Cricetulus griseus: one gene and its partner. The main gene of each other region encodes a partner of the protein of the gene in region 2 in a complex. Links are inferred from orthologs where the notes say so. Each region holds a gene or a part of one and is shown on either strand. Other genes may lie near its edges.

Evidence for each region. The genes of interacting proteins can lie anywhere in the genome.
Region 1: the proteins of Aak1 (region 2) and Pdlim5 are in contact, whole or in part, in a crystal structure (PDB 9F6S), measured with the Homo sapiens proteins. The link is inferred for Cricetulus griseus from reciprocal best matches to the Homo sapiens genes AAK1 and PDLIM5. Residues at the interface, in NP_055726.4 of Homo sapiens: Asp956, Leu958, Ile959, Asp960, Leu961; in NP_006448.5 of Homo sapiens: Ala12, Pro13, Trp14, Gly15, Phe16, Arg17, Leu18, Phe24, Gln67, Ile70, Lys71.

Annotation. Positions count from the first base shown.
Region 1 is NW_023276806.1:17,535,414-17,538,913, forward strand, and holds part of Pdlim5 (PDZ and LIM domain protein 5), read left to right. Parts: intron 1-1,011; coding exon 1,012-1,132; intron 1,133-3,500. UniProt on the Homo sapiens protein: May play an important role in the heart development by scaffolding PKC to the Z-disk region. May play a role in the regulation of cardiomyocyte expansion. Isoforms lacking the LIM domains may negatively modulate the scaffolding activity of isoform 1.
Region 2 is NC_048601.1:58,582,655-58,586,862, forward strand, and holds the start of Aak1 (AP2-associated protein kinase 1), read left to right. Parts: upstream 1-1,408; 5' UTR 1,409-1,425; intron 1,426-1,479; exon of another isoform or gene 1,480-1,620; intron 1,621-1,807; 5' UTR 1,808-2,028; coding exon 2,029-2,191; intron 2,192-4,208.

The DNA.
Region 1 (3,500 bases), on a different chromosome or scaffold from region 2:
ATAATGAAATTCTAGAAAAAAAAATGTGAATTGTGGAGAACATGCTTAAGTAGGTGTGAAACATTCAAAATAGTTTCAATTATAAATATGCTACCTAACCAACCAATCTCTATGTTATTAATTTGTACATTGCATTGGCAATAAAGGAGTATAATGGCTAGCTTGTCCATAAGTGCTGACAGATAATCAGTTAGTAGGCTATATGTCAAGGTAACATTTAGTGAATAAGCATTCTGTGAATTAATTAATAAAAGTCAAGAATGGCAAAAGTTATAAGATTCTAGGAAGTGAAAGAAAGAATTCCCATATTATTAAATATTCTCCAGAAATTATTTTTTAGTTGCTTTACCTCTTCTTAATCGAATCCTTAGAACAATTCTTGAAAAACTAACAACCCCAAACTTCTTACTGATTAAATCTCTTCCAAGTCTTGCATCTTGGAATATTTAACAGGAAGCCATTGTGGACTAGGATCCTAGCTTTTATGGTTCACACTTCACTCAGTGGAGTAAGTGCATAGTACAGTCACAGCTGATTCCCAAAAGCTAAACACTCAATGAGCTGATTGGATTATACTGATTACATTATTGCTTCCATAATGCACTGGAGTTTAGGTTTGTTTTAGTTTTTAAATGCTTTCCCCTCCTTCATGACATTTTCAAGATAATGCCATGAAAGTTTTTTAGGTTAATGCATCCTGACGCCCTTTGAAAGAAAGCAGAATGTGTTGTAGCAAACCTTTCTGTAATTCTTCCCTTATGCACTGCATGTATAGAGTTAGTAATAGCTAATATTCTTTGTTTATGGATTTGTATTTATGAAAAGCACACTTTTTACAAAAGCTTTCAATGACGTGAGAATCTTCCACTAAGCATCTCTTGTTTCTTTGATGAAAACTTCAAGACAAAGATGAAATACGTACATCTACATTGAGTTAGTGTGGTTCAACAATGAGAGCAGGTATTGATGTGTTTATTGTCATCTTTCACTCCATCCACCTTTCTATAACAGGAAGTCATCAATGCTTTGAAGCAAACCTGGCACGTGTCCTGTTTCGTGTGTGTGGCCTGTGGAAAGCCCATCCGCAACAATGTTTTTCACTTGGAAGATGGAGAGCCATACTGCGAGACTGGTGAGATAATAAGCCATTAGTGCCTTTGCTAAGAATGAAGCTAAAACGCTTACGTTTCTGTACAATTGAAAGAAAAGTTTAGGTCAACAAGGTTTCCTTCTTTTAGAGGCATTACATATTACTCTGAATATATAGCAAAACAAAAATAATAGTGACTGTTCATGACTTTCAAAATGAACATTTCCAACTTCATTATGAGCATCAAGGTTAGCATTACTTAGTAGGAAAAACATGTTCAAATCTCCAATCATTTAAAGATATAAATTCTACTCATAATGTACCGTAAAACCACTATTGCTGTAAAGAATACCAAATGGTTATAAACATGAGAAATGTTCAACATTCGAATGTTACCGCTTTGCTTTTTAAAGCTACAACCTTGAAAGTAAACGTGAAATCCTTTGCTGCCATTACTGAATAGAAAAGCAATCCTGGCTCAGATTGCTCCCTGGTGAAGATGTTTTTAATAATTTAGGGTCCAAGAGCCTGCCACTCCCTTTGCTTTGTCACCTGAACACCCAGCACTTCCTTTTCTTTTGCCACATCTGCAAGTGAGCTTTCTTACCATTTACTCCTTATTCAGATATTGCTTCCACAATGGCTATTTCAAAATATGAAACATGCTTTGCTTTATTTTGCCTCTATTAACTACCATTAACTGAATTCCCACTATTCAGTTTTACTCTTATTTTAGATTAAAATTCAAAGTGTGGTCCTAGAAGAAGGGATTTTTGCCCAGTGGTAAAGTTCAAGAGACCATCAGCTTTTGTCTGAAGCCATTTCAGCATCACTTACCTCTTTGCTCACTTCCCCTTAACCCCTTAGTTAGGAAGGGTTTGGCTCTATTCCAGATTGCTCACCAGGAAGCCCCAGAACCTCCAATAAAATGCCCCATGTGTTGTTAGCAGTTTAAGTTGGCTGTAAACTTCCTACCATCTTCAGAGTATCTCATGTTCTGCAGCTTATTTTTTCTGGTTTTTGTTTAGTTGACTGGCTGGTTTGAGAGTTTTAGAAACTTTGTAAGACATTCTGACTAACTATGCAAAAACATAAACATCTGTCTAACCTGAGAAGTGTAATGTGTTCTAAGAAATCATGATATACAAGTAATGTATTGCTAGCAGAGGGGAATCGCGGTCTAATTTTTACTCTTTTTCTTTAACCTTCAGCCAGTTCTTAGCAATGTTCCCATCTCTGTAGATTAGATGGCTGCACTGTCTACTGTCCAAACACCTAGGATTTCTTTCTCTGTTCTTCTGAAACAGAATCTTAACAAGTGATTCCTAGCAACTCTGCTGCCAGTGGATATTGGATAAGCATCTCTGCCTTTATGCCCAGCTTACTCTTACTCTTCTCCTGGATTTCCCAATAGCAGCTGCAGAGAAATTGATGCAGTGTCAACCATGGCAGTCAGATTATGCTCGTATTCCATAAATGGCGTCCACTAGAATAAGAACCATTGTCCTTGCCAAAACCCACCTTGCCAGATTTATCTCCTGCTTCTTTACATTCTGACACTGGATTTAGCCCATATCTTATCCCTTTATTTTTCTGGACATGGCTAAGATTTTATTTCTAGCTCCAGGGCCTTCATACATAAAAGTTTCATCTAACTAGAATGCTTTCAGTGTGATTCATCATGACTGTCACATACCAGAGAAGGGTTTCCTAACCCTCCTATAATGTAGTGTGTGCCTAGTTATTCTGTATCATAGCACTGGTTTTTGCTACATTGTACTTATCACAGTCTTAACTGGAACCCCATGAGACAAGCATCCACACCTGTCCTTTTTGCCTCCCCACCTCAGTGCTGCCTGGAGCACTGCCTGCTAGAGTCTGTGGAGCTGTATTTAGCAGTGGTGCTAAAGAATCTCTGCACCAGGCTGCATATTATAGAATCCCTCCCCTCCAACTATGGCTGGATTGACATTATTAAAGGCCAAAAGTTGGCTCACAGGTCAACACAGCAGCAGTGGAGTTGAATAAAAGAAAATGGAAACGTGCTGGCATTCTTTTTTAATAGTAGAGAAAGGACAAGGCCACTCTCATCAAAAGGGAATTTGTTAGTATTTTAGAGCTAACCTTCAAGTTACTCATGTTGTCTGAGTAAAGATTTCCAGAATGAAGTCATGAAATTAGAAGGAAAATATAACAAAAGAAATTGAGGCTGGTTTTATTGGCATAATCCATCTAGGAACTCGGTCACAGTACTTATTTGTGAAAGTGTCCTGAAACCTGTATTCAAAGTTTGTTCTCAGATTATACTAACTAGGCTCATTGTTGCAAATTATTGAGAGTCCTCTTACTGTACCTGGACACATCCAAGTGTACTACTGAACACTACACACAACATGATCTCCTGTTCATG
Region 2 (4,208 bases):
GGTGCTGAGTCTCACCCTGAAGGTGGCTATGGGATTGTGTGAACTGAGGTGGCAATACTGGCTCTCTCCGGAAGGAAAGATGCTATCTCTCTCCGGGGAGTTAGATGACTATGGCACCACATGAAACAAGAAACCGCAGCAGCCACCCCAGCCCAGCCCAGCCCAGCCCAGCCCAGCCCAGCCCAGCTCAATAGTCAGATTAAACAAGAGCCATCTTTTTTTTTTTTTTCTTTCCTGGGGGCAATCTTCTAGATCTTCCTCAAGTGCCTGAAGCAGAAATTCCGGGATACGTTGCAAGTCCAGAGGGCGGTTGCATCATTAAGAATTGTGGAGAGCAGGTGGAGGAAAAAATTTATACTCAAAGAAGAAGAGAAAAAACATGTATTTCTTGGGGGAGGGGGTCAGGGGAGTTAGGGATTTGACACCACATCAGTATCGCCTGTGAGACAATCTAGGAACGGAGGTCTCAGTTCCCTTCCAAATCCTCAGCATTTGATAGGAGCCGATCACACAGCCCTATTCCCTATCCGCACCCAGGCGATACCAAGTCAACCCAGCATCTTCTAGTGAAAGAGTATCGAAGAGAAAGCAGTACGTGTGTCTCAAGTTCCCGCACGAATGTGTCTGGTGAGGACCAGGCAGGTCTGGGTCCGCTGAGGGCCATGGATTGGGTGTGGAGCCTTAGGGTGAACCGTGCGCTGGTCCCTAGATCCGCCCCCCACCCCCCCAGCATTGGGTCTCCTTGCAGTTGCTTTTCCGACCCTCGCTCGGGCTTCCCGGGAGTTCTCATCGTGGTCGGGGTAGGGAAGACACCTGTTTTGCTTCCTTCAGCACCGGGGTTCCTCTCGGCTCCCTGATGGCACCATGCTCCCCTCACCCCCTGCCTTCTGTCCCTCCGCTCCCGTGACGTCGGGGAACTCCCAAGCACAACTGGGGGCGAGGCAGTTAAGCCGCGTCCTTCAGGTGTCAATCCGGACCTATGTGAAACCACAATTCCCAGAGTGCCTCGGTCCACGAGGCCAAGGCAGATAAAATGGCCCCAGAGAGTGGGACATACAACTTGGAAACTGGTCTCCGGTGTCTTTACCGGATGTATTTAAATACTCGAAGCCCCACTTCTGCACCACTCCAGTATCACCTCCAGACCGCGGAGACCGCGTCTTAAGGTGCGCCCGCTCCCGGGGCATTTTGGGAATTGTAGTCCAGATGCCAGGTTGTACAGAACTACCTTTCCCATGGTGCGCAGCGGCCGGGCGACAGCAACGTTCTCTTTTCAAGTGTTTCTGTCCCGAGTGCCCCCTCCTCTGGTCCCCTTCTTGCCATCGATTTCTTTCGGTCTGTGACTACAGCTGGTATCCCAGAGGCGGCCCTGAGCGGGGGACCACGCTGCCCTGAGAGGCACTTCCGGTGACAGGTCACTTCCGGGTGGGTGGTCGGAGCCGACGGGCGCGCGCGCGCGCGGGGGAGGGGCGGCCTCAGCGCTGCGCTCGGGGATCAGCTGGCGGGCGGGCGCCTAAGTGGCCCCGGCTCTGCGGCAGCGCCGCCTCCACCGCGTCGCAGGCCGGCGGCCGTGGCCATGTCGCGGGGCTGGTAGCTGGGCTCGGCGCCGAGCCGCCGCTAGTGGGTGTCCGGGGTCCGGGGCCCGGGGCGGGGGTCCGGGCTGGGGGCCGGTGCGTTTCCAGGGCTTTCCTGAAGAAAATGCACGCAGCGTTTCCTCTGGATGACGGCCTTTGCTTCCCCTAGGACCCGGCAGTTGGGCTCAGGAGTGTGTTATTGATTCATCCTCTCTCTGCCTCTGTCATCGCAGGTTTAAACTTAAAAGATCGCTCTCCGAGGAGGAGGGGACCCATCCTGCAATTGACAGTATATTCCTGCAGGCGCCGTCCCTCAGCCCCCACCCCACGGCCGGATTCCCGTGGCTCTGTTCCAGGCTGAAACCCGAGAAGAAATCCTTAGATCTCTTTTCTTTACAACGAATACGAACCGAGAAACCATCGGCATTTTGCCTTGGCGTTTCCTATTGGAAAGATGAAGAAGTTTTTCGACTCCAGGCGGGAGCAGGGCAGCTCTGGCCTGGGCTCAGGCTCCAGCGGAGGAGGGGGCAGCAGCTCAGGCCTGGGCAGTGGCTACATCGGAAGGGTCTTTGGCATCGGGCGGCAGCAGGTCACCGTGGACGAGGTGCTGGCGGAAGGTACGTTGGAAGCCAGTGCGCGGTGAATTAAATTCATGTGCTGATGTGGCAAGACTCTGGTTTCTAGTTGTATGAATGGGTTTTGACCAGCTGACCCTCCCTTCCCCCTGCACTTTCCCTGTGAGTCATTGTCCTTGAGAGATTTAAAACTAAGACTGGGAATTGACAGGGCTTGGGGGGCAGTATTGCCCAAATTGTTTACCTCAGTGGCCTTTTATTTTAGTTGGCCGGGGCGGGGTGGGGGGGGACGGCTTGGAGAAACCTCCTCCTTTGACTGAATTATGCGGATCAGATGTGAAAACGAATACGTGAAGTAGAAATGACATCAATTGCAGGGTGGTGGGGCTTGGCGTTCCTCTGAAACTTTAAATTCTGATGTGGAGGCTGAATGGTGGGGATGGGAAGAGATCTTAAAAAGAGAGAGGGGTTTCTCCTATCCAACTTTCCCATTTCTATAAGTATCCAAAGAGAATTTTTCTGGTGATGGGAATGCATTTTTTTTGGTCGTTTGACTAGGTTTATTTCTTCACCCAACTATAATCAGGTCCCCAGGATGTAGCTAAGATAAAAATCATAAGAAGTGAATGAGATTGTTTTGAACTCAGTCGCCTAGGCCTCTTTTCTCTTGTTTTAGTTTCTATTTAAGAATTACTTAACAGTGGCTATGGTTTAGTTTTCTCTCAATTGGAGAGGGTGCTCTTTAGATCCGCTGTGTGGATTCTCTTGGTGTGTGTTCATTTGTGTATCTGTACTCATGCCCCAGGCTTTAGGGAAATCTTTTTTGAGTGTTCCTCTGCTAACCTTAACCTCGACCTTCATAATTATGCCAGACTGATACTTTTCACAGCTCATTGCCTGCTTAGGGGTGCTTTTATTTTTAATAAAAGCAGCGATTTCCTTGGCATGAAGCAATTCAAACTAATTGGATAGGGCCAGCCTACTGTAGGTTGTGTTACAGACTGCCAGGGGTTGGGTATGGGGGAGGTCTCAGTGAAGGCAACATGGTGGTAGGGGACAGCTTATTAGCTAGGGAAGAGAGGATGAAAGCTAAGAAGCCCCCTTGAAAAGGAGGCTTTGAAAGCTGAGATTGAAGCAAGGATCCCTACCTGGGCTTAGGAAATGCCTGTCATGGTGAGTGTTGTGGGGTGGTGGATGGGTGGGTGGGAAGAGGGAGAAGCTGTGTTTGACTCAGTTTGTGTGAGCACTGGATTTGGTGGGGCCTGGCATCTGAGGGTAGGACTGATGCCTGTACTTAAAAAGCACAATTTTAAAGAGATACCTGATAATGAATTTCCGTTTGAAATTACTGCTTTTTTTTTTTTTTAATTCTTGGTAATGCTGCAACTAGACTTAGCCTGGGCCTGAGTCACCATCCTTTCTGGACCTTTCTTTGAGGACTCTGGTGCATGGTGGGAGATGCTTCTGTGTCTGCTGCCAGATCTGTACCTTGGAATCTGAGCTGACTCTTTCATCCCATAGCCAAAGTCCTTGACTGCAGTGGGTGGAGTGTGTGAGAGAGCTGGAGGATGAGGGGCACAGAGCACTTTCCTCCTCTGTAAATGGCCTCTGCTGGCCTCAGAACCTAAGAGCATTTTTCTTTCTTTCTTTCTTTCTTTCTTTCTTTCTTTCTTTCTTTCTTTTTTTTTTTTTTTTTTTTCAGCTAGGATGTTGTCTCATCGTGTGTTGCCCTAAGCATTGCCTATTCTCTGAGTCTTGGAAGAGTGATGGGAAAGAGAAAACACAAAATTGGTCTTTGTTTTCTAGGCTGCCCTGGAACTCATCCTGAGAACTGCACATTGTGCATTCTGATATTTTAAAAAGTAGAACTTAGGGTTTGCAACTGTGTACACATTTATTTCTTCAACCAACAGTTACTGGGTACCTGTGATGTGGCAGTTCTGTCCTAGGTTCTGGGGATGTGATGTTAAACTAGATGCTAGAGTTTCAGAGATGTTTTAAGAGATGGAAAATGGACAGCTAGTGATATGATTAGTGTCACCATGAAAGTAAACTAGGG